3 linked regions of the Drosophila melanogaster genome follow. Changing the gene in region 3 together with the main gene of any one other region gives a genetic interaction. Each region holds a gene or a part of one and is shown on either strand. Other genes may lie near its edges.

What was found.
Region 1: of Fs (region 3) and daw, changing one suppresses a phenotype caused by changing the other (phenotypic suppression), as found in Drosophila melanogaster (one study listed by BioGRID).
Region 2: of Fs (region 3) and Actbeta, changing one suppresses a phenotype caused by changing the other (phenotypic suppression), as found in Drosophila melanogaster (one study listed by BioGRID).

Annotation. Positions count from the first base shown.
Region 1 is NT_033779.5:2,803,581-2,811,289, forward strand, and holds the start of daw (dawdle), read left to right. Parts: upstream 1-1,680; 5' UTR 1,681-2,021; intron 2,022-4,741; exon of another isoform or gene 4,742-4,956; intron 4,957-5,399; 5' UTR 5,400-5,730; coding exon 5,731-6,673; intron 6,674-6,787; coding exon 6,788-7,063; intron 7,064-7,568; coding exon 7,569-7,709.
Region 2 is NC_004353.4:1,078,768-1,086,772, forward strand, and holds the start of Actbeta (Activin-beta), read right to left. Parts: upstream 6,030-8,005; 5' UTR 5,847-6,029; intron 4,507-5,846; 5' UTR 4,360-4,506; coding exon 3,360-4,359; intron 2,441-3,359; coding exon 1,490-2,440; intron 63-1,489; coding exon 1-62. UniProt on the Drosophila melanogaster protein: Controls several aspects of neuronal morphogenesis; essential for optic lobe development, EcR-B1 expression in larval brains, mushroom body remodeling, dorsal neuron morphogenesis and motoneuron axon guidance.
Region 3 is NT_033778.4:15,238,589-15,243,366, forward strand, and holds the start of Fs (follistatin), read right to left. Parts: upstream 3,002-4,778; 5' UTR 2,609-3,001; intron 1,212-2,608; 5' UTR 981-1,211; intron 1-980.

The DNA of each region.
Region 1 (7,709 bases), on a different chromosome or scaffold from region 3:
TAGAAATAGATTCAAATCGTTTCAATAACTCTATTTTTTGAGTTCACATTCTTAGACTTTACTTTCCTGATCTGTAATTTGAATCAAATGCTCACTAGACAGTCATAGAATTTTCCTGATCAAATGCAAGGCCAAAGTCTAGACGAATAAGGCCATTTATAATCAAATGAAGCGATGAATAGTTCAGAAAATATTAGAATGAATCTTTAGATGTTTAAGGTAACTTTAAGCTTGCAGTTCAAACGTGTAACTAAAGTCATAGTACCCCTATCAAGGGTATAAGCATCATATATTGTTGACTTAATTATGACACCAAAACACTGTTTTAATTAAAAACTGAAATTCCAGAGGCCCGGCCACGATAAGCCGTGCATTGTGACGTGTTTTTCAGCACGCGCGCCACATTTAAAAATTAGACGTTTCGAGTGAGATTTTGCCTCGATCCTGAGTATACAAATCACGAAAGGTATATTGTGCGATTCCATCGCATTATATTTGAGGTGAATGCTTTATTGTGAAATCTCAAGGTAAACAAAACTCGGAACGGACTTAATCAGTCGATTGGCATGAGGTTTGAAAGTGAAACACAGCGATACGCAATCAGAGCCAGCATTTAATTAATATTAGCCATTTACATACTATTGTCCTCCGAGGTAATCTCAAGAGACCCATGCTCGACGGGCGTGAAAACTTCAAAATTATGATATCACACATGGTAATCAATTGAAGCAGCCAGCAAGTTAAAAACAAGAAACCCCAAACGTCGTAAAAGCCACATCGTAAATTGGTCAAGAGGAAAGCGATTAGCTGGCCAAGAGCTAAACAAAAACAGGAAGGCATACGTAGGGTGGAGTCTGAAATTGAGTATACTTAGTTCATTCGTTATATTACATCTAATTGTTCAGTCTTTTACACGACATTGTTTGCATATTCTTCGATGATACATATGTACTTTCTTCTAGCATTCATGGTTATACGTCAATTTTAGTCATACCTCTCGCTAGTACCGCTTATTAATAGACATTGGGCCATCAAAAGAAAGCGATGGTATCGCTTTGGCTGTGAGAACCAATCGCCATTAGGCAATGTCGGCTATCAGGGAAAGTCAAAGGCAATCCGCTGGACTGGACTGCCGCTGAACTTTGGACCGGTTGGATCGAGCGATAAAACCCCACCGGCACGACGTCAGCTCACGTTTTTGGGTGACGAATGCTGGGGCTCGATCCTCATTCCCAACAAGCTCGAACTCACGAACGGCCATCGAACATGTAGCGCCGGCCAGCGAACTTGTTCGATGCTCCAGCCTCGAGCGGCGTGGGTGTTCGATGCAGGAGGCGATCGGATGGGAGCCAACCGGACCTAAAACGCTGCTGTGTGGGCCAGGGGGGAAAGCCACCCATTATCAGTGGCTCTCCCTGCTCTCCCTCTCTCTCTCTCTGTCGCACTTGCTGGAAGCAAAGTAGAATTGCGCATCGCTTAAAACGCAGAGCAGCGGAGTGCGCCAATGATCGGCGGCGTGTCTGTTATCAAACAAACTGAAACTCAACTGTCTGCCGCCCGAAGAGTGGGCCATACCCATACCCATACCCATACCCAGGCCCATACTCACACCCATACCGCTCCCCACAGATACCGTTAGTCGTACCGCTCCAGGCTTTTGTGGCCGCTGCGCCGCCCATCGTCGAATTATTCACACGCAGACGTTCCCAACGATCGGATCGAAAATTATTCAAATCGTGCAAATCGTACATGAAACTTGGTGTGAACGAATAATACTTTATGTTTCTTCAAAACATTTGTTTTTGCTCAGCGAAATATCAGCTCGTCATTTTGAGGAAATCAAGTTCAAGTGGTGAAATTCAAAACAATAATGAGTTTGCGAAAGTGATTTGCGAAAACAAATAAACGGACAATCGATTGTAGAATCACTCAAGGACATTTGATAAGCATCCCTTTTCGCAGAAGATTGCAAACAATGTGCTAAGTTATTCAAGCATTTTGACAATGGATTATTAATTTGGGTGAGTTACATAACACAAGGGCTTATTGTGTAAGAAGTTTAAATAAAAGTGCCAAAAATGTGAATTATGGAATCAGCCTCAACATGGGATACTAGAAATTGTATATTTTTTTTAGCAGTCTAATGCTCAATATCAGTTATTACCAAATCGCAGGGAAGTTTCTAGTTTCGCTTTTGGAATATCATGCCGTAATTAAAAACTAATCATGCAGTGAATGGTTTATCGATCAGAGGCCTATCTATCACCGATTGATTGATTGATAGTTTTCGAGCCTATAACCCAGGCGCATAACCTCCAAAAGCTCTTGGCGAATTTCGGCCACGTCGAGAGTCATTGGCCAAATTTAGTTGCTACCAATGATGATCTTATTTAATCCTGCACTTGATTTATGGTAGCATCGCCGATGAGCGTGTGGCGAGAAAAGTATTATGGCAGATTAATTTGCGACGCTTCGGGCCTCTGGCTTCTGGCAATCGGGGCAATCTCCGTGAGCGGTTCCAAAGTCCAGATCGTGGCATGCTCCCAACCGCTGATCGGCGAGAACGGCGTGATCGCCGTGATTTATTGCCAAAAACCGATGGAAGCAGCCGTGTTTTTGTCGCAGTGCATTCAACTGCTGCGCGCGAAGAAGAAATGCAAGTGATAATTGCCGGCAATTACGATAGCCCCACTCCAAGTCCGAGTCCCAGCCCCACATCCAGTCCCAGCTGCCCCGTAATTAATGCGAAAATGATACGGGCAGGCCCATGGAAAACCCCCAAGCAGAGTCGCTTAGTCAAGAAGCCATCTCCATCAAGCGGCTGTACTTTGCACCTCCAATCGACGCATCGCCAGACCCCCAACTCCCCATTCACAGGCACAGCAGTTTTTTGCTCCGATTTGCATCGACATGGCAACCGCGGAGTCTTCACTACAGCTTTTGCTTCTGATCACGCGCTGGTGGCGTGCTCGATGACGTAGCCATGACTGCCGGGCGTTAAATGACCTTCTTCAACTTCTGTCCCCCTTCCCAGCGGCACCCCTTTTCCGCGGGCCCCCATCACATCGCAGTCGCACGCCTCGGCTTCGATTCCTGCCTTTGATAAGTCGGTCAGTCAAGTCAGTCATTAAGTCCAGTGCAGTGCGGACAGCTCGAGTTACGTCAAAAACGAAGAGTACGTACAAAACGTGTCACATGTCGCGTGTGTGCTACAATCCAAGCCCTGCTTCCTGATCCGATCCCCATCCATTCTATCAGATCCCATCCCATCCGATCTGATCCGTCATTATGTGGCCCCCAGTCGCTTTAATCGACGTCAGGTTGGTTGTGTTGGAAAAAACAAAATGGAGCAGATTTTGGAACGTGGCAATCTACGTAGGTTGTGGAAAAATATGCGATGAGTTGATAAGTGGTGCGACATATGCTGAAGGCCAGGACGTCATTTAAATTGGAAAAGGGCCACTGGAAAAGTGTAATACCTTATGTAACTTATGGGAACACGTAAAACTAAACTTAATTGTGCAAGTCAAAGGTGTCATAATCTAATATGAAATTGGGGAGTATGCAATACTTATAGTTGTTTATTGTATTATTTCCTAACAAGAACCCCTATTAATTTGCTTTTGCTTAAGCCGCACCAACAATGTTGCCAGAATTCGCTGAGGCCTACAAAATTTCTATCAATTAAACGGACCTTCTCCTCCGTATAGTATAGATCATTTCTATTCGTCTCGATGATCTAATTGGGTTCAGAAAAATCACAGTTCGTGACAAGCGAATCGGGCACGTGTTCAGCATTTAAGGCTAAATCGAATAGGCGGTATAATATAACTCGTGATCTGCCGGCCTTCAAAATACTTTTCTTGACCTTACTCGACTGCTTCACATTTAGCCGAGACCAGAAATTCTGGCTGATGAAATTCCCAACCGAAATACTCATGAATTTCCCATTCGCATTTAAATTGGAAAACAGACACACTATGTATTTGAAATGCGCATCTATTAACCGAATCCGATTAGGATTGCCCAGAATCGCATGCTAAGCGTACTTAATTGGTTAAATGCCGCACTACATATTCCATGCTCCCGATTTGTGGACCAAAAGTGGGAAACCGCCCCTTATCAGCAACGTGTTCACTATTAATTGATTGACACACAATCGAGTCGGATCATCAAAGTCAAGCTTGATAACGCTGCGGGGTAATTAGCATGAATGGGCCACTCGACTCGATTCGATTCGATTCGATTCGGTTTGAAGCGATCATAAATTCACTTGATATCAAAATGCCCCATTGTGGCCAAGCGAGTGCCAAAAATGCCAACAGATAGTGACGCCGCCAACTGGGGGCGTGGCATTGTCAGGGTGGCGGGAGGTTAAAAATAAAATTGCAATTAAGAATTTTATGCAATTCGGTGGCTTGGCGTTTTCAAGAAGCTGATGCAATGCTGCACCCCACTTGCATATCCAATTGTCTTCGGCTAAAGAGAGAGCGCCATGTAGCCATAACCATGGTCTATAGTCATAAATCGAGACCCGAACCGCTCGGCTTGGATCCGAGTCCGCAACCGATACGAAACGATCCGTCAGATACGATGCGATTCGAGTGGTTCGGATTGTTTCGGTTCGGTTCGGTTCGGTTCGGCTGGCGCTCGCGGAACGATCAATCAAACGCTCGGCGATCGTCACATAAATTGTTCTACTAATCAGCCAACCGCTTCATTCATTCACAACTCGTTTGCGCTGCCGCATGTCGGAAGAGAAAGAAGCACCATACTATATCATAGACCATACCACAAGTGGAATACTATATAGACGCGCGATCCCAGCTATAGCTAAAGGCCCGTGCCACTCGTGTTTCGTGTCCGGGTTCAAAGTTAATGCCGCAACCCCCGCCGGATTCATCCGGCTGAGCAGATTCAGATCCCATTGGAGCAAATCGGAGTGTGCTCACCACGGTACGTGTGGGGTCCACGTCCACCTAATTGCCATCTAATTGAGCCCGCTTATCAGCGGATCTGCGCAACTACGCTTTCGATTTGAGTCGCACTTGGGGCAAATAGCCCATGTGATAATGTGAAATTGAATACTGAACTAAACTAAATCTTCCCGGAATTAATGTCAAAAAAACGATTTGCACTTTGCCACCTGCCAATTCGAGCTCAACGATATGGAATAAATGATGCAATTTGGTGCAAAAATTAAGCGAGACTTCGGGCTTAGTGAGTGATAGTGATAAATGCACCTGATCCGCTGGCATATTAAATTGCATTTTAATTGGGGCAGCGCGTTCGCAAATATTTATGAGAAAATTTAGGGCATAGCTGTTTTAATTTATTTGATTAATAATCGGAATGTGCTTACAATATTAACTAAGTTACAAATTTCTTCTTATTTGCAGACGAAACTTAACGAAAAGTTTAAAATATTGAACATGCATCATTCAAGCGTATAAGTCGTTGTTATATAAAATCATAAAAAACGCATAAACGTTTTAAAAGTGCTTAAACAAGGCTATAAAACGGCAACAATAAGTGAAACCAGCTGCAATTCTATGAGTTTTGTAAACCTGAAAGCCGGAAAAATTGATGTTTTAATGCTGCCAAACAGATAGCAATCAGCCCCAGCCGACAAAACAAGAGTGAAACCAAAGGCGATCCAGAAGATCATAAGATACATATAAAATATCTCACAGTTAAAAAAAAAGAGAAGTCATAAGTACATATTCAGAAATGGCCAAGTACTTTATAGCCCTGGTGTTGCTGGTGTGTCTGGCCCTGGAGAACAGGAACGTATACAATCGCCTGCACGCCCGCTCCCATCCGAGTTCCCGTGGCGACATCCTTCGTCCGCATCCTAAGCACCAGCCGCATCCCCATGTGCAGCACACCTCGCAACAGCTGCAGCAGCAACACCATATCCGGCAGCAACGATCCCGTCAGCTGAAACACCTGGAACCGGATCCGACCAGCGAGGAGGACGATGTACCGATCACCAAGCGGGAGTACTATGCCCGCCTGAGGCGCCACGTCATCCACAAGAGGCAGCACCTCCTGCAGCAGGAGCTCAGCTACAACCATCCCGGCTCCCATTCGGAGCAGCTAAAGGTGCCCCGCCTGTGGCAACACCTCATGGAGCAGGAGGAGAAGGCACACCGACATGTGAGCCCGCCCGTGGAGTTGCCTATCATGTACGGAGATGCCCCCGAGGAGTCATCCCTCTCCTCCGATGATCACTTTGATGATCTGTCGCCGCTGGACTTTGTGCGCAACGAACTGATGGCCGAGGACCAGCAGAATCAGGAGAAGGATCTCGATCTCGATCTGGACCTAGATCAGCAGCCGGAAACGCCCATAGAGCCAGAGCTCCCATTGGGTGAGAGGAACATCACCATTTCGGTGAAGTCCAGCGCCGGAGGATGCCCCAAGTGCGAGAGCAATCGCCAAGTGGAGCACATCACCGAGGAGCAGCTGACCCACTTACGCATCGAGTTCGTTAAGCAGCAGATCCTGGAGAAGCTGCGCCTCAAGGAGAGCCCCAAGGTGTCGGCCGTGGAGCTGCCCAAGCCCATCTTCGACGGGATGACACTCTCCCATCCGGACGATAGCACCAAGAACAAGGAGCTGGACGATTACTACGCTCGCACTAGCAAGAAGTTCATACTGCTCAATAGAGGTAAGCAAATCTAGATTTAAGCACTAGAAAGTAAAGATTGAAGCTTAACTTCAAAGGGAATCCTTTTACCATTCTGATTTTGCTAACACAACCCTTTATCCTTTATTTTTACAGAGGAGGTCGAGTGCAACCGAGCGAGAGATGGAAAATCCAATCCGTCCATGTGCTTCACCTTCAAGATAGACGACGCAGATGCCGAGGGCTTCGACGTGAGCACCGCCGTCCTGTGGCTCTTCAAGAACAAACAGAACCGCACCGACACGGCATCGGTGAACAGCACCAGTGCCCAGCAGACGATCGTAGTCTCCGAGGTGGAGGTGGATCAGCAGAAGGACTCCAAGTATTTGTCGGCGGCCAAGACCATAGCCATCCAGTCGGTGAATGTGCAAGGTGGGTACACATAGTATACATTAGTATAGCATAAACACTCATCCCCCCAGAGCGTAATCATGCCCAGAAAAGAATCGCACACGTTTGGACCTTTGGTCGGCAGCCGCGGAACGGCCAAAACTGACCCTCAATACCCTCGGGGGACAAATCAAAATATGTGACATGTCTATACTAGATGGGTATTATAAAAATTATAAAGAACGCCGATAAGTGCCAACGTTGACAACCGCTTGTTTGTGTTTTCAATTAGACAGATCATTGCGCAGATTCGTGATAGCACTGCTTGATAGCTCGGCTCGAATCTGAAATTCATGTGGGTGAATAACTTGACAAAGCATTATTCGTGGGTGCAAAAACTGAACTTTGGCCACAACCCAGCACAGTTGTGAGTTCCTGGGGTCAGTTACCAGATAAGAAAGATGGGATCTACGATTCTGGGAGAAGAGAAGATGGCTCTGTGGAACCCCCAACTAACCGCTCTGCCTTTCCTTTCGCATACTTTCAGATGAGTGGATGAAGATCGACATTGAGTGGCCCATCAAACACTGGATCAGTGGCCACGAGCTGAGCCACCTCATCCAAATCACCTGCGGTGGCTGCGATGTCAGCGACATGGAGGAGATCATTTCGGTGGACAAGGATTACC
Region 2 (8,005 bases), on a different chromosome or scaffold from region 3:
GCTGGGAACACGGCGGTTTTGGGCCGAAAACTCGAGTATTCGATATTGTCGATATTGGGTTCCTTAAAATAAAATATATTATGCCAATGAATAAGAAGACTACACACAGTCATATGAGCGAATTACAAAAAAATATATTGCATTGTTTTTTTTCTTCAAAAACAGATATATTGTAAAGTTTACAATTTTTGTACAGTTAACTAAAAATCAAAGCTTTGTATATAAAATGTACTCTTAAGCGTTTTGTAGGCGTTAGAGATGGCGGATATTGGTAGACATTAAAAAAACCTCAACTACTTCAACTTTAATATAACGTATTTAAATATATTCGTTTTTGTCCATATCGATCGTATCGATGTCAGGGCCTGTAAAATCTAGAAAGTTCAGATAAAAAATTAAAAATTTCAGAGAAGAAGCACTCTCACAAGCTACCACGCTTACACTTTTAAGAAAGCGTTTTTATTTTTAGTCATTATATAATTTGTTTTGCCAATTTCTATCGGTATGCCATACATACCGCCACAAGCCGGTTTCTACTGATTTGCCTAATGTTTTTTGGGCACGATCACTCTTTCTTATTTTTATTACTGTATATTACTATTACTATATATTAATATATATTATAATATAATAATATATAATAGTAACTATAGTATATAGTATAGTATAGTATAGTAAAGTATGTTAAAGGCAGGAAGAATCGTTTCCGACTATATATAGTATATATATTCTTGATCAGGATCAATAGCCGAATCAATCTAGCCATGTCTGTATGGAACGTCTAGATCTCATGAACTATAAAAGCTAGAAGGTTAGAAGCATACTAGCTAGAAGCATACCGATTGTAGACACCTAAACGCATCGCACGTGTGTTGAGCCAACTCCCACAAACCTCCGAAAACTTTTGAAAAAGTTTTGATATTTTCTCATATTTTTAGTCTGTAGTCTTGTACATTTTTTTTTATCGATTTGTCAACAAACTTTTTGCCACGCCCACTCTAACGACCCAAAAAATGCCGCCGACAATTTTTTTTTTTTGACAAATTTGTGGATATTTTTTCATAATTTTATTAGTCTTTTAAAATTTTATGGATTTGCCAAAAAACTGCCACGCCCACACTTTAGAAAATTTTTTTTAGATTTTTCTTTGTTTTATTGTTTGTCTTGCTAATTTCCACCGGTATACCAAAACACTGTGATCACGCACATCCTTTCACCAACAAAACGCCCAAGAGGCTCACTCCCTCACTATTAAAGAATTATACAATTTTTTTCTCATTTTATTTCCCCGTAATATCCAACGATATCCCAGCAAAATTATGAAATTTCGCGTTTGCGTACCCACTAGTTATAACGGGTATAAAATAAAATTTATATTTACTTATTTATAGTAACAGGTATCTGATAGTCGGCGAACTCGACGTCTCTTATTTTTTAATTTGCCCTCGACGATAGCGTTTAATCCTGTGTTGAATAAAAATCTACTCACCCTCTTCAGCAAATGTAATTATTTCCTGCGTATTTCCAAAGAAGTCTTCATGATCAATATTTTCATGATCATCAGCAAAAGATTCGTGATGTCCTTTCTGATTTTCATATTCTATGTTGTGGATCGCTGGCTGATATCCAATGCTAGAGCGACCTTCATGGTACCGGTTTTTATCATGAGTCTGAACACTGTAATCGTTAAAATATTCATAATCATTGTGGCTCATCTCACCATTTTTGCCAGTATGGGTTTTATTATCAATACTATGATTTATATCTATAGGATATGTAGATTTTTTTAAGGCATTCTCATTCATTTGTGTGCCGTTGATGCCATTAACTTTTCTGACCGCTCCGCTTTTAAGCTCCTTAGGACTACTGTTATGGTGGCTCTTTAGTTCTATAGGCATAGATGCAATTTGAGAGTTTATTTTTAATTGACGGTTTTCTGTCCATCCGTTTAAGAATGAGTTTTTTTTATCGATTCGTTCTAAAGAACGATTTCTCAATACTTTCCCATATACATTATTTTTACTTATATTGAAAGTGAAATCGAACGGGGATCGATATTTATGATGACTGGGATCCCGTTCGCTTCTCTGATCGGTCCTTCCACCTCGGCCATTAAACAAATGTGATCCGGGCGAGGCAAACGCCCTCAGCTTGATAGTCTTCTGATCTAAATTCTTACCACTGCTCCCAAATGCATTGTTTGGTATCATTCGTCCACCATCGACTCGATATATTGTTTCCCAAATAAATTGCTTTGGTAAAGGATGAGATACATTAGGCTTGTGGCTAAGACCAAGCTTTGTCAAAATTTGCCGTTTTATTGACTCCAAACGAACTTCATCGCTGGGTGCAATGTTGTTATGGGGTTGATTAGTTTTTTTGTTGAAATTATTGTTGGAATGGTATTTGTTGTAGATGTTGTAGTCTGTGTGTGGATTATCTGTGTGAATGTGATAATTGTAAAGTGTTATGTAAAATTCATTATATAAATTTTTGTTGTTGTATGGAGTGTTTTTATGTTTTTAGTAAAGTTTCATTACCCGATATCACACAAGTTTTATCGTTTTTTAAAAATATTTTTTTGTCTTGCTAGCATTATTATTTTAAGATTTGGATTTATTTTTATGGTTCACAAAAATCTCGAAAAGAAATAAAATCAATAATCAAATCTATTTATAGTTTCTGAAATCCAGCGCCTATGACCTCTACTGTTTTTTTTTGCAATACCGAGTTTGACTAGTATTGTACATATTTACGTCACTGGAGCGACATTTCCTTCGTTTTTACGTTAAGAACAATATATAATTTTTTTATTTTATGACAATAAAATTAGACGAGACAGGAATACCTTTCAAGACTCGTAATGTTTTAATTCAAAAATATGTACGAAATTAATCGTGTAGCAAGCAAATTTTTCCAATCCTTAAGATAAACAAATTGCAATATTAAGATAAAAACTCACCCAGACTATGAAAATTTGTTCTAGATATTTTGTATTTTTTGTTATTTACCCTTTTAAGGGGGTATGAATATCCCAGGCTTACTGCGGGTGGTCCTTGTATTAAATATTATTTACATTACTAGTGGTACAACATTTGTCAATAGATATTTAATTTAATCATTGAAAATGATTTTATTTTACTTAAAAATAGCACAAAAATCTTACAAATTAAATTTATTTTACAAAAAATTCTGCATTGCAATAGTTTTGGTACAGTACGATAACCGCTTATTTCACAACAACTCACATCTGTTTTATCTTAATAACGCCAAACTCAATGTAGTTTTTTTTAGTCTCAATAAGAATATTAAAAGATTACCCTATATTCAGTATGTAAAAAATTTTTTTGAAAACTGACCTTTATCGGTGTATATGTTGGGCTTTCCGCTTTCATGGCACAAGGTGCAGCCCTTGTGACTCTCCAAATTCGAAGCATAATAATTACTACTGCTGATCCCATTGCAATTTATAAGTTTGACTTCAAACCAGACGAGTCCAATTAGAAGCCAAATAAGATTGGCTCTATTGCGTTTAATCTTTGAACAGTTACGCATTGAACCATGAATCGCTGGCCAAGGTGCTTCAATTTCCCTCAAAGGGGACACCAGTAGGCTTCTCTCTGACTGACTAAATAGTTTACCTCCTTGTACTAAGTCATAATTAGTTCCGTAATTTGTCTCCAAAGACTGGCATTTGGCATCGCTAAAATTAAGTCTTTGCTCAAAGCCGCTCATATTATCTTGCATTAGATGATGAAGTCGCTTAGTATATCTGTGCCTGCGTCGTCTGTGATTGCGTCGGCGTCGCCTCCTTCGCTGTCGTTTACGATTGCGACTTTTACAAAGCACTCTACATAAATTGTTGGACTTTACCTGTTGGTCGTTATTTATGTCATACGATGTATACCCATAAAGCAACTTTAGCTTCGTCTCCGAAGTGCTACTGGGAGTTTCATTAGGTGTGGTAGGAACCGAGACGTGCACTGTCCTACTGCTGGCTTGGCTTCTATCTGCAACTCCAGACTGGCCAGGCACGGAAAATATGTCTAGGAGTATGCAGCTTGTCAGGAGTGTCGCTACCGCAGTAACCCACCGAGCCAGCACTAAAATAACCGCCACAAACCTTGATACTCTAAGGACTTCGAGGTCAGCAACTTTTTTACGCATTGCAGCGGGTTGTGGAAATGACTTCCGGGAGCCAAGGCTGTTGCAGCAGTTTAAGTTAAAGCAGCAACAGCACTTTACAACCACAACGCAGCATCCTTGGCGACAGCAGATGCATTGACAATTAAAGAAACACCTGCTGCCTTTGAATGGCGCCCCCGATTGCGAATGATTAGAATCGAAGGCAAATCGCATCTTTGATATATGGCAAGCGTGTAGTACAGGCACTGTCCCTTAGAAACGTGGTACAAGTATTGTCAATTTTATTTTTCTGGTAAATATTTTTTTAATCATTGCAAATCTTTTTCCTTTCCTTTCCTTTCTGTCGTTCATTTCGTCTGCCTGTTCAAAATACAAATTTTCGATTAGATAAGTGGTAAGCTAACTGGAAATTAATATGGACACTAAACAAGAGAGGAGGCTACAAATTGGCAAATAAATTAAAAACACCGGAGAAAGCTATAGTCGACTTCCCCGATGCGAAGTTTCATAATTTTTCAGGGATATTTATAAATATTGTGCAAAAAGATACGAAAAAGTTTTAAATTTGTTTGAAAATGTGGGCGTGACCGTTTCGCTCGTTTTGTGGCCAAAGTGTTTTTTATATACAAAAATTGGTTCCAACAAGGCGGTGCAACAGCACATACTTCAAGAGCATCGATGGCTGTTTTGAGGGAACACTTTCCAGAGCGCCTTATCTCAATTAGAGGCGATTTGGAATGGCCGGCACGATCTGTCCCCTTGTGATTTTTTTCTATTGGGTTTTTTGAAGTCCCGTGTTTATGTGAACCGTCCAAGAGCCCTACAAGATTTGAAAACCAACATCCAAGAAGAAATTGCCATCATAACACCTGCCATGCTAACAAGACTCACGACAAACGCCAGAAATCGGTTTACGCAATGTATGGAGAATGGGGGACGTCACCTATCAGATTTCATCTTCAAAAAATATGACATGTACGTACAATATAAAAAAAAATAAATTTTTTCCGATGCCTACAATAGTTTTCATTGAGTTCTGAAAAAGGAAATTATGCTGCCGCACCCTGTATATACTTTGTATGCTCGGCAATGCTCCCTTCTACATGGTACTTACTTTTTAACGTATATAGTATACCCTTTGATTCTACGAGTAAGGGAATATATATACGGGTATACAAATCTTAAATGATATATTCTCCGAATACTTGTTTACTTGATAATTAACCAGTAATTGAACCAGTTTGCGTTGAAACGGACGGACGGTTACGGCTCTTACTGCTAGCCATACAGATGAACATATATTCTTCGTGTGGTCGTAATTGTCTCCTTTACTGCGTTGCAAGAAACTGACTTAAATCAATATACACTTTGAAAGGGTACAACACATTAAAATTAGTCTAAACCTGACGCCGAGCTTCGGATGGCACAGTTATTATTACGCCAGAAATACTTCATACCATGCACCAACAGAAGCGGACAGACAGACTCATCCGTCCCTTCTGAAGAACTCAAGGCGACACACAGACTGTGTCCAGATGAAAAGACCTACGCCTGAATGGTGGTTACTTAGAAGCCTAGCAGCGGAAAGGGATGAAGAGGAATTAAAAGCATGCGTTCAACAAAAAAATTTGTACATATGTAAGAAGGAAGGTGGTTATGTGTATAGGCTTATGATCAGTGTATGTAACAATATGTATCACCTTTTTCTTTTTAGAAACAATAAATTTTCAACTAAGTAAATATATTTCTTCACGAGAAATATTAGGGACACTATCACATTTTCACGATTTATAAATGTATTATGCTTTTCCTTTTAGCACGGAAACAATATTTTGTATCTCCGTTGGTTGCTAAATGACATTGCATACTTTGTGAAACTAAGATGACACTTTAAGCTTTTCAAAAGCTTTCTTGAAAATAACAATATTTCAGCGTTGCCATATTTGCACCAGAAATATCTGTTGCCATTCAAATTAGAAAGAATATCGATGCTATCGATATATGCTTCCTTTCACGATTAAAAAGTCGGCAGATTCAAATGGATGAATTTCAATAACCTAAATCATTTTTAAATCGTAATCGTAACTAATAAATAAAAATGTTGTTAAGCGTAGATGGAATCGTTTACCCAAAATTCCAAATTAGCAGTCGATCTTGTGTCGATCTATGTGCGCCTAAACATTAACAGATTTATCTGTAAAACTTTACGTCCAATTCAGTTAGATTCAAATCAAGATATAAATATTAATATTATATTCATTTGCTAGTACGAATGCGAACGCAAAATTTCATCATTTTTCTGGGATATCGATATTAGGGGGAAATAAAATGGGAAAAAATTGTTATACCTGTTATTCGTGGTTTGCGGGCTTTATATTGGGCGTTTTTTGGCAAATCGATAGAAATTTACAAGACTAATAAAATTATGAAAAATATCCAATACATTTTCATAAACGTGGGAGTAGCAGTTTTGGTCGATTTTAGCGCTTTGAGTGGTCGTGGCAAAAATGTTTTTTGCAGATCGATAGAAATTTACAAGATTATTAGTCTTGTATGAAAAAGTATGTATGAGAAAATATAAAAACATTTTTCAAAAGTGTGGACGTGGCAGTTTTGTGCAGTTTGTGGGCGTTAGATGAAATTATGAAAAACTATCCACAAATTGTTCAAAAATGTGGGCGTGCCAGTTTTGTGCGCTTTGTGGGCGTTAGAGTGGTCGTGTCAACATCTGTCAACAAACTTGCGCTGCGTCTATGTCGCTTGAATCTGTATGCTGATCTCAAGCTTTTACGTTTACGTACAGTACATGAGATTTCGAGTTCATTCGGAAAGACGGACGGTCGAACAGACGGTCGGACAGACGGTCGGACGGACACACGGATACACGGACATACGGACAAGGCCAGATCGATTCGGCTATTGATCCTGATCACACTTTATATGGTTGGAAACGCTTCCTTCTGGTTGTTACATACTTTCCAAATGTGAAATTCGAGTAAGTATTCTATTATTTTGCTGATTTTAGTTATGCAAATCGATATAAGGAAAAGCCCAGCAGATAATATTTCTTTATCCTTTACTTGTTAACAAAAAAAGGGTAAACCGTACTCTCTGAAGAATATTTAACAGAAAGAACAAAGAGGATGTATACGTAACTTCACCGGAATACCTACAATTATTGGCTACATTTACTTTTTACTTCCTTCGAAACGATTGCATCAAACTAGAAATAGAATACGAATATTTTGTTGTTGGTTGTTTTCATCATATACATACATGTACATAGACATAACAAATAAATAATTTACGTTTTGATACAAGCAAAAGCCTCGTAGGAGTTACTAGAATCTGGACGGATAACTTCAATTTTTTGATATCTATAGTTTTATAGGTTTTGACTTTTATAAAGATGGACCGACGGACAAGGGGACTGACTGGCATGTATCGGTCGTCTACGTTAGTGGCACGGGTTAAAAAACTTTATCCAAGACATTGTTTTAATTGGAAGAGTATATAAACCTTAGTTTGCCGATATCATGTTATTCTGGTTTTATGTGCTATCGACTTGTTAAAGCCCCTTCTGTCTGTATGTATTAACTTTCGGCTCCCGAAAATCTCCGGAAATAACTATATGTATTATTCCGGGAAAGAGTATACCAACAAAGTAAGTAGTATAAATAAATAGTACATAACATAATATATACAGCAGTAGCATTTCCAGTACCTAGCAGCCAAAAACAACCAAAAGAAACGGCGGAAAAGCTGTCTCGGTTGGCTTGCAGACCGTGAAAAGCCACGAGCCACGATTGAAATACCGAATTTCATACCAAAACATATGAATACCGATTGTTTATATCAA
Region 3 (4,778 bases):
CTCGGCAACTGCATTGCCAAACTCAGGGTCCACACACACACACACTCACACACCAGAGGAGGTACACCAATACACTCGCACTGCCAAACAGACAGTCTGGAGCTTTATGTATGTATATATACCATATCCATACCATATAGCTATGGCGAATGCCTTCTTCTTCGGGAGATGCAGTTTGACCGTTGGAGACCTGTTTTTATGTTTTTGGGCATTTATTCTGGATTTTCGCAAAATGTGTTTTTGTTTTTTTTTTTTTGTTTTATTTTGTTGTTTTATGCATTTTCGTTTGTATTGAATTGCATCTTCTGCTGCGCTGATCCTGCGCTGTTGCTGCTGCACTTCAGCAACAAGTGCATAATTTCAACCTCAAGCCCCTCGAGCTGGCCAAAAAACTTGCATCAAATGTGGTGCTAAATTTCACTGCGGTTCTCTCAGGTATTCTGCCATATCCCACTTGCAACGCCTTCAGTTACTTTTGCGTATTAGATTAAGACGCTCCCAAGGCAACCCGGTTTCCAGAAAGTCCCATTGCGTATCATATTATAGGGCGGGCAATGCCAAAAGCACGTGCTGCCTGCCATGCCATTGTCCGGCCCAGAAAACCGATCCTCCAGACGGCGGCCCAGTGTGATTTAGAAAAAACAGATACAGTTGCCAAACAAACAGAACGCGGAAACAAGCGATCCCATCCTGAGAATTTTGTAGATTGATATCGGGAGTGCACAGGAAGAAATCAATGTGTCTCAAGGGATAATCTTACTAGTCGGGTGTTTTAAATATAATTTCGAAGTTTAAGTTTTGTAAGCTTGGTAATTTAATATTTTAGGCATTGAAACTTTCTTAAGGAACTTTCACTTTTGCAGAAGCTACGAGTGCTTACAGAAATACTTAATACTTTGGGATGTTTTAGTTTTGACACCATTTAGTTTCGATGAGTTAGGCTCAAAATGTATTCAATCTCTTCATGCGGAAGTAACTACCTGGTTTCATAGCCGTTTTCTTTTCGTGTGGCTTAGTTCTCGCGCCACGTTCGCGGGGACTCGCAATCCAGTCACCGATTGACTTTAGGCTCCATTCAGGCCGATTGCGCAATAGCAATCGCGAATGCCAGACCCGGCTCCAAATGCTATTTTTAGCGCGGTCCGTTCTGCGGAACCCTGTGGGTCGCCCAACTGCATAACTGTCTGTGCTGCGGTGTGTGGCTCAAAACGCTTTGAAAAAAAAGGGTCAACGTATTCGGTTTCATAAGTAACAAACGGGCCAAATCGAAATCGATGATGATGGAAGAGCGGAACAGGACGGGTCATGGAGGAGGAGGGTCTTCTAAGGAAACAGTTTGTCATTTGGCAACAACAGGAAATTCCTTTCGGCAAACTCATCAGCCAAAGTAAACTGTGCGTCTCCGTTTTGGCGCGAGATTAATGACACTTGGACAGCGGCCCCGCCCCCACCAGCACCTCCGCCCACTTGGGAATTTGCATATGACAGCAGCAGAAGCAGCAGCAGCAGCCTCGTTGTTTGTTATGCAAGCAGTAAATTTTCAATAAATATACATAAGCCAACAAACAAATCAAATCAAACCGACAGTGGCTGTATCATCAGCAGCAGCATCGCAAGAGCAGACAGCTGGACTGCCTGCACAGGAAGAAAAAACATACTGAAAAGGGCACAAACGAAGCTAATGCTTTAAAAAAAAGGTCTCACTAAGTAAATATTTGAAATTCGATTCTCGTATCCATTGAAAAGATTTAACAAATGTATAGCAACTAATATTCACACAGCCGTCTGATGACTATGCATACATATTTAAGTATGTTCATACGTATGCGTCTGCTCGTCATATCGAGTGTGTTATTTTTTTCGGTGTGCCATTGTTTTTGTTGCCCTGGGCGGAGGCTCGTCCGATAAACACAGACGTATAGACACTCACTGACCACCGAGATCCGTAGGCTGTGACTGCTAAATGTTTGTTTTGCCAGCGTTCGAATGCCACGCGTTGCACATACGCAGTGTGGGCCGCATGAAAAAAGAAGAAAGAGAGAGCAAAGAAACGCCTCTTGACACTCGAATCTGTTTGTAGTTGATTCGCTTAGAAGAATCGCTCGACGGCCCATTAGCATTCGCCAGAAATGTCAAAAAGTAAACAGGAAATCTGCAGGATGGCCGGTAAAAAAAGCGCGCGCGCACTTCAAGTAATTTGCTTATGCTACGAGTTGTTGACTTTGCGCCACTCATCTTCCGATTCGGAATCAGAATCAGTATCGGAATCTGATTCTTATTCTGATTCTGATTCTGTTTCTGATGCTAAGGATAAGAATGAAGCTGCAAGCTGCGAGCTGCGAGACTCAGCAAACCGCAAATAAAAACAAATATCGGCTCACATGAAATCCGAGCTGTTATTGAGTCTTTCGATCGCCTTTTGTTGACAACTATGCAAGAATTTTGTTATTGTCTGAGATGGGCGAATGGTACGTGGAAAAATTTGTCTGCTGCGTCTGGGGTAAATGGAAATGAAACAAAATATCCAGATGATAGCTGCCCGTCTGGAGCGATGATTTCCTTTCACAAGGCTGCTCCAAACTTTGCTGAGTCCTAGTTATGAACTCACCTTTTTAACTATGCCTCGTTTTTGTTTTGAAAATCTATTTCGCACTTAGACGTGTTTGTTTGCCAATAAATTAGCAGCTAACATGCGGAGAGTATATATGACACTTTTAGGTATTACAAGAAATCAAGCTTGAAAACCGAAAAAAATAAAAACATTTTCAGCACAAAACGAAAAAATGAAAAGTTGCCGACCGGTGATCGCACTGTTGTCCACACTTATCGCTGAGCTTTCGAATTTCAAGACTTTCAGTCTGCACTTATTTACATTTCCACGATTTTCGTTCCTGTTCTCTGTTCTGGAACTACGAAACTGGACACAACACTAGTTTTCACTTGCTACTTTTTTTACTGAGGACCAGAGACGTGCGCTCCATCTGATGGTCGAATGCCGACTGAATTTTGAAAACCAAAGTTCTCATTTAGGTAAGAAAACAGCCAACAGTCTTACACCAATACTCATGCAAAGCGCCGCACGGTGGGGCAAAAGAAACGCTATGTGGATTGGATTATGGATTATGGATTAGTTTGCTTATTTTTAGAAATTCCTTTAGTTACAAATTTATACATTTAAAAAGAAATATTTACCTATACAGTTTAAAGAATGTTTATCATATTTTATGACATTTGTATCGTTTTATGTTTGATTTTGTATTATTAAAGGCAATAAAATATTTAAACCTGTTAAAGTTGTATGTAAAAACAAAAGTGTTAATTTACGAATTATGTAAAATCGTAACAAATGAAATATCTGAAGGAATTGGAAAATATATAGTTGTAACTATACTGTAACACTGTAAGTAAATACATCTCAAATTCGTTTTCCAATTTGTAATATTTAGTACCACTGTGCAAAGCGCTGCCGGCTGCTGTGCGATTGTGTGCGTGAGAGAAAGAGAGAGACATGTAAATTAATAGGAAAATAATAGGAAAATCGGCAAACCATAGTGATGGTGTTTTTAAATTTAAAAATAGGTATGTTGGACTTAAAAAATGTAACCCTACCTTTTTAAATATAAATCCCATAAATATAGTTTTACATAAATACAGGACATTTAGGTGATATATGTTCTTAGAAAAAGTAATATTTAAAAAATTAAGTAAAATAAGTATTTTAAAAATTTAATTTTGTTCTTTTTTGAATACTATAAATTTATTTTGTTTATAATAATTAATTTAAAAACTAAAATATATGAATTCAAATACTTATCTATGAAAGGAATATATTAGCCATAGTTCCAGAGCAATTGTTTGCAATAACATTTTGTAATACTTAACAACGTGCACAAATTATTTGTTTTATAAATATAGTTTGTAGAAGATTTTAGTTAAAGTTCTTCAGTGCAGCATAATGTGTTTTAATCGCTGCGACATGCTGCGCTTTTGTGCTTACGACCGCAACATGTTGCAAGTTGGAATTGAAGATTTCCTAAAAAATAAACTTAATAACTAGCAACGTAACATCCTTATCATGTAATCTTGTTTTCTTTGGAAATTATTAAATTATTTTGTTACTGCTTCTACTTAAACTAATAAGACGAATGTCTTGATTTTTAAGGAGTTCATTTTTTCTTTAAAATTTAATTTATTTAGATTGTAAACAAACATTTTGTGGTTACTGAGATGTTTTGAAATTTTAACGAACCAACGTCCAAGCAACTGCAACTGCAGGAGCAAAGGCTTAGTGCTCATTAAATGCAGCGAAATCATGCCTTGGCTATATAGAAAACATATCTTTATCTGCGGCCTTAACTGTCTATTGTTTAGCCAGAGCAAAGCGGCAGCTGAGGAAAACGATTTCTTTATGGTGCAAACAGCGTCATAATTTAGATCTAATTGTCAGATACTTGCTGCCAGCCAGAAACTGCCACAAAACTGCATGTCGCTGGGCCCAGCACAGCAGCCCCGTGGAAATGTGGCACTGAAAATGAAGACATTTGACGAGGGAGCCGCCGAGGCACTGGCTATTTGGGCAGCCAGACCAGGCGGAGGAGCAGTTGCACCAGTCCGATTTTTGCGTCAATTACGGCGCGGAGCGTTTTATTGGCCAATGGCGTGCTGGGCGCGTATTAAGCCCGCTCGCTGATAGTGGCCACCATTATCCACCTCCACCTTCGCCACTTGCCTTTCCTTTCCACTCCCTCACTTCCCTTACTAACCATCTGCTCACCTGC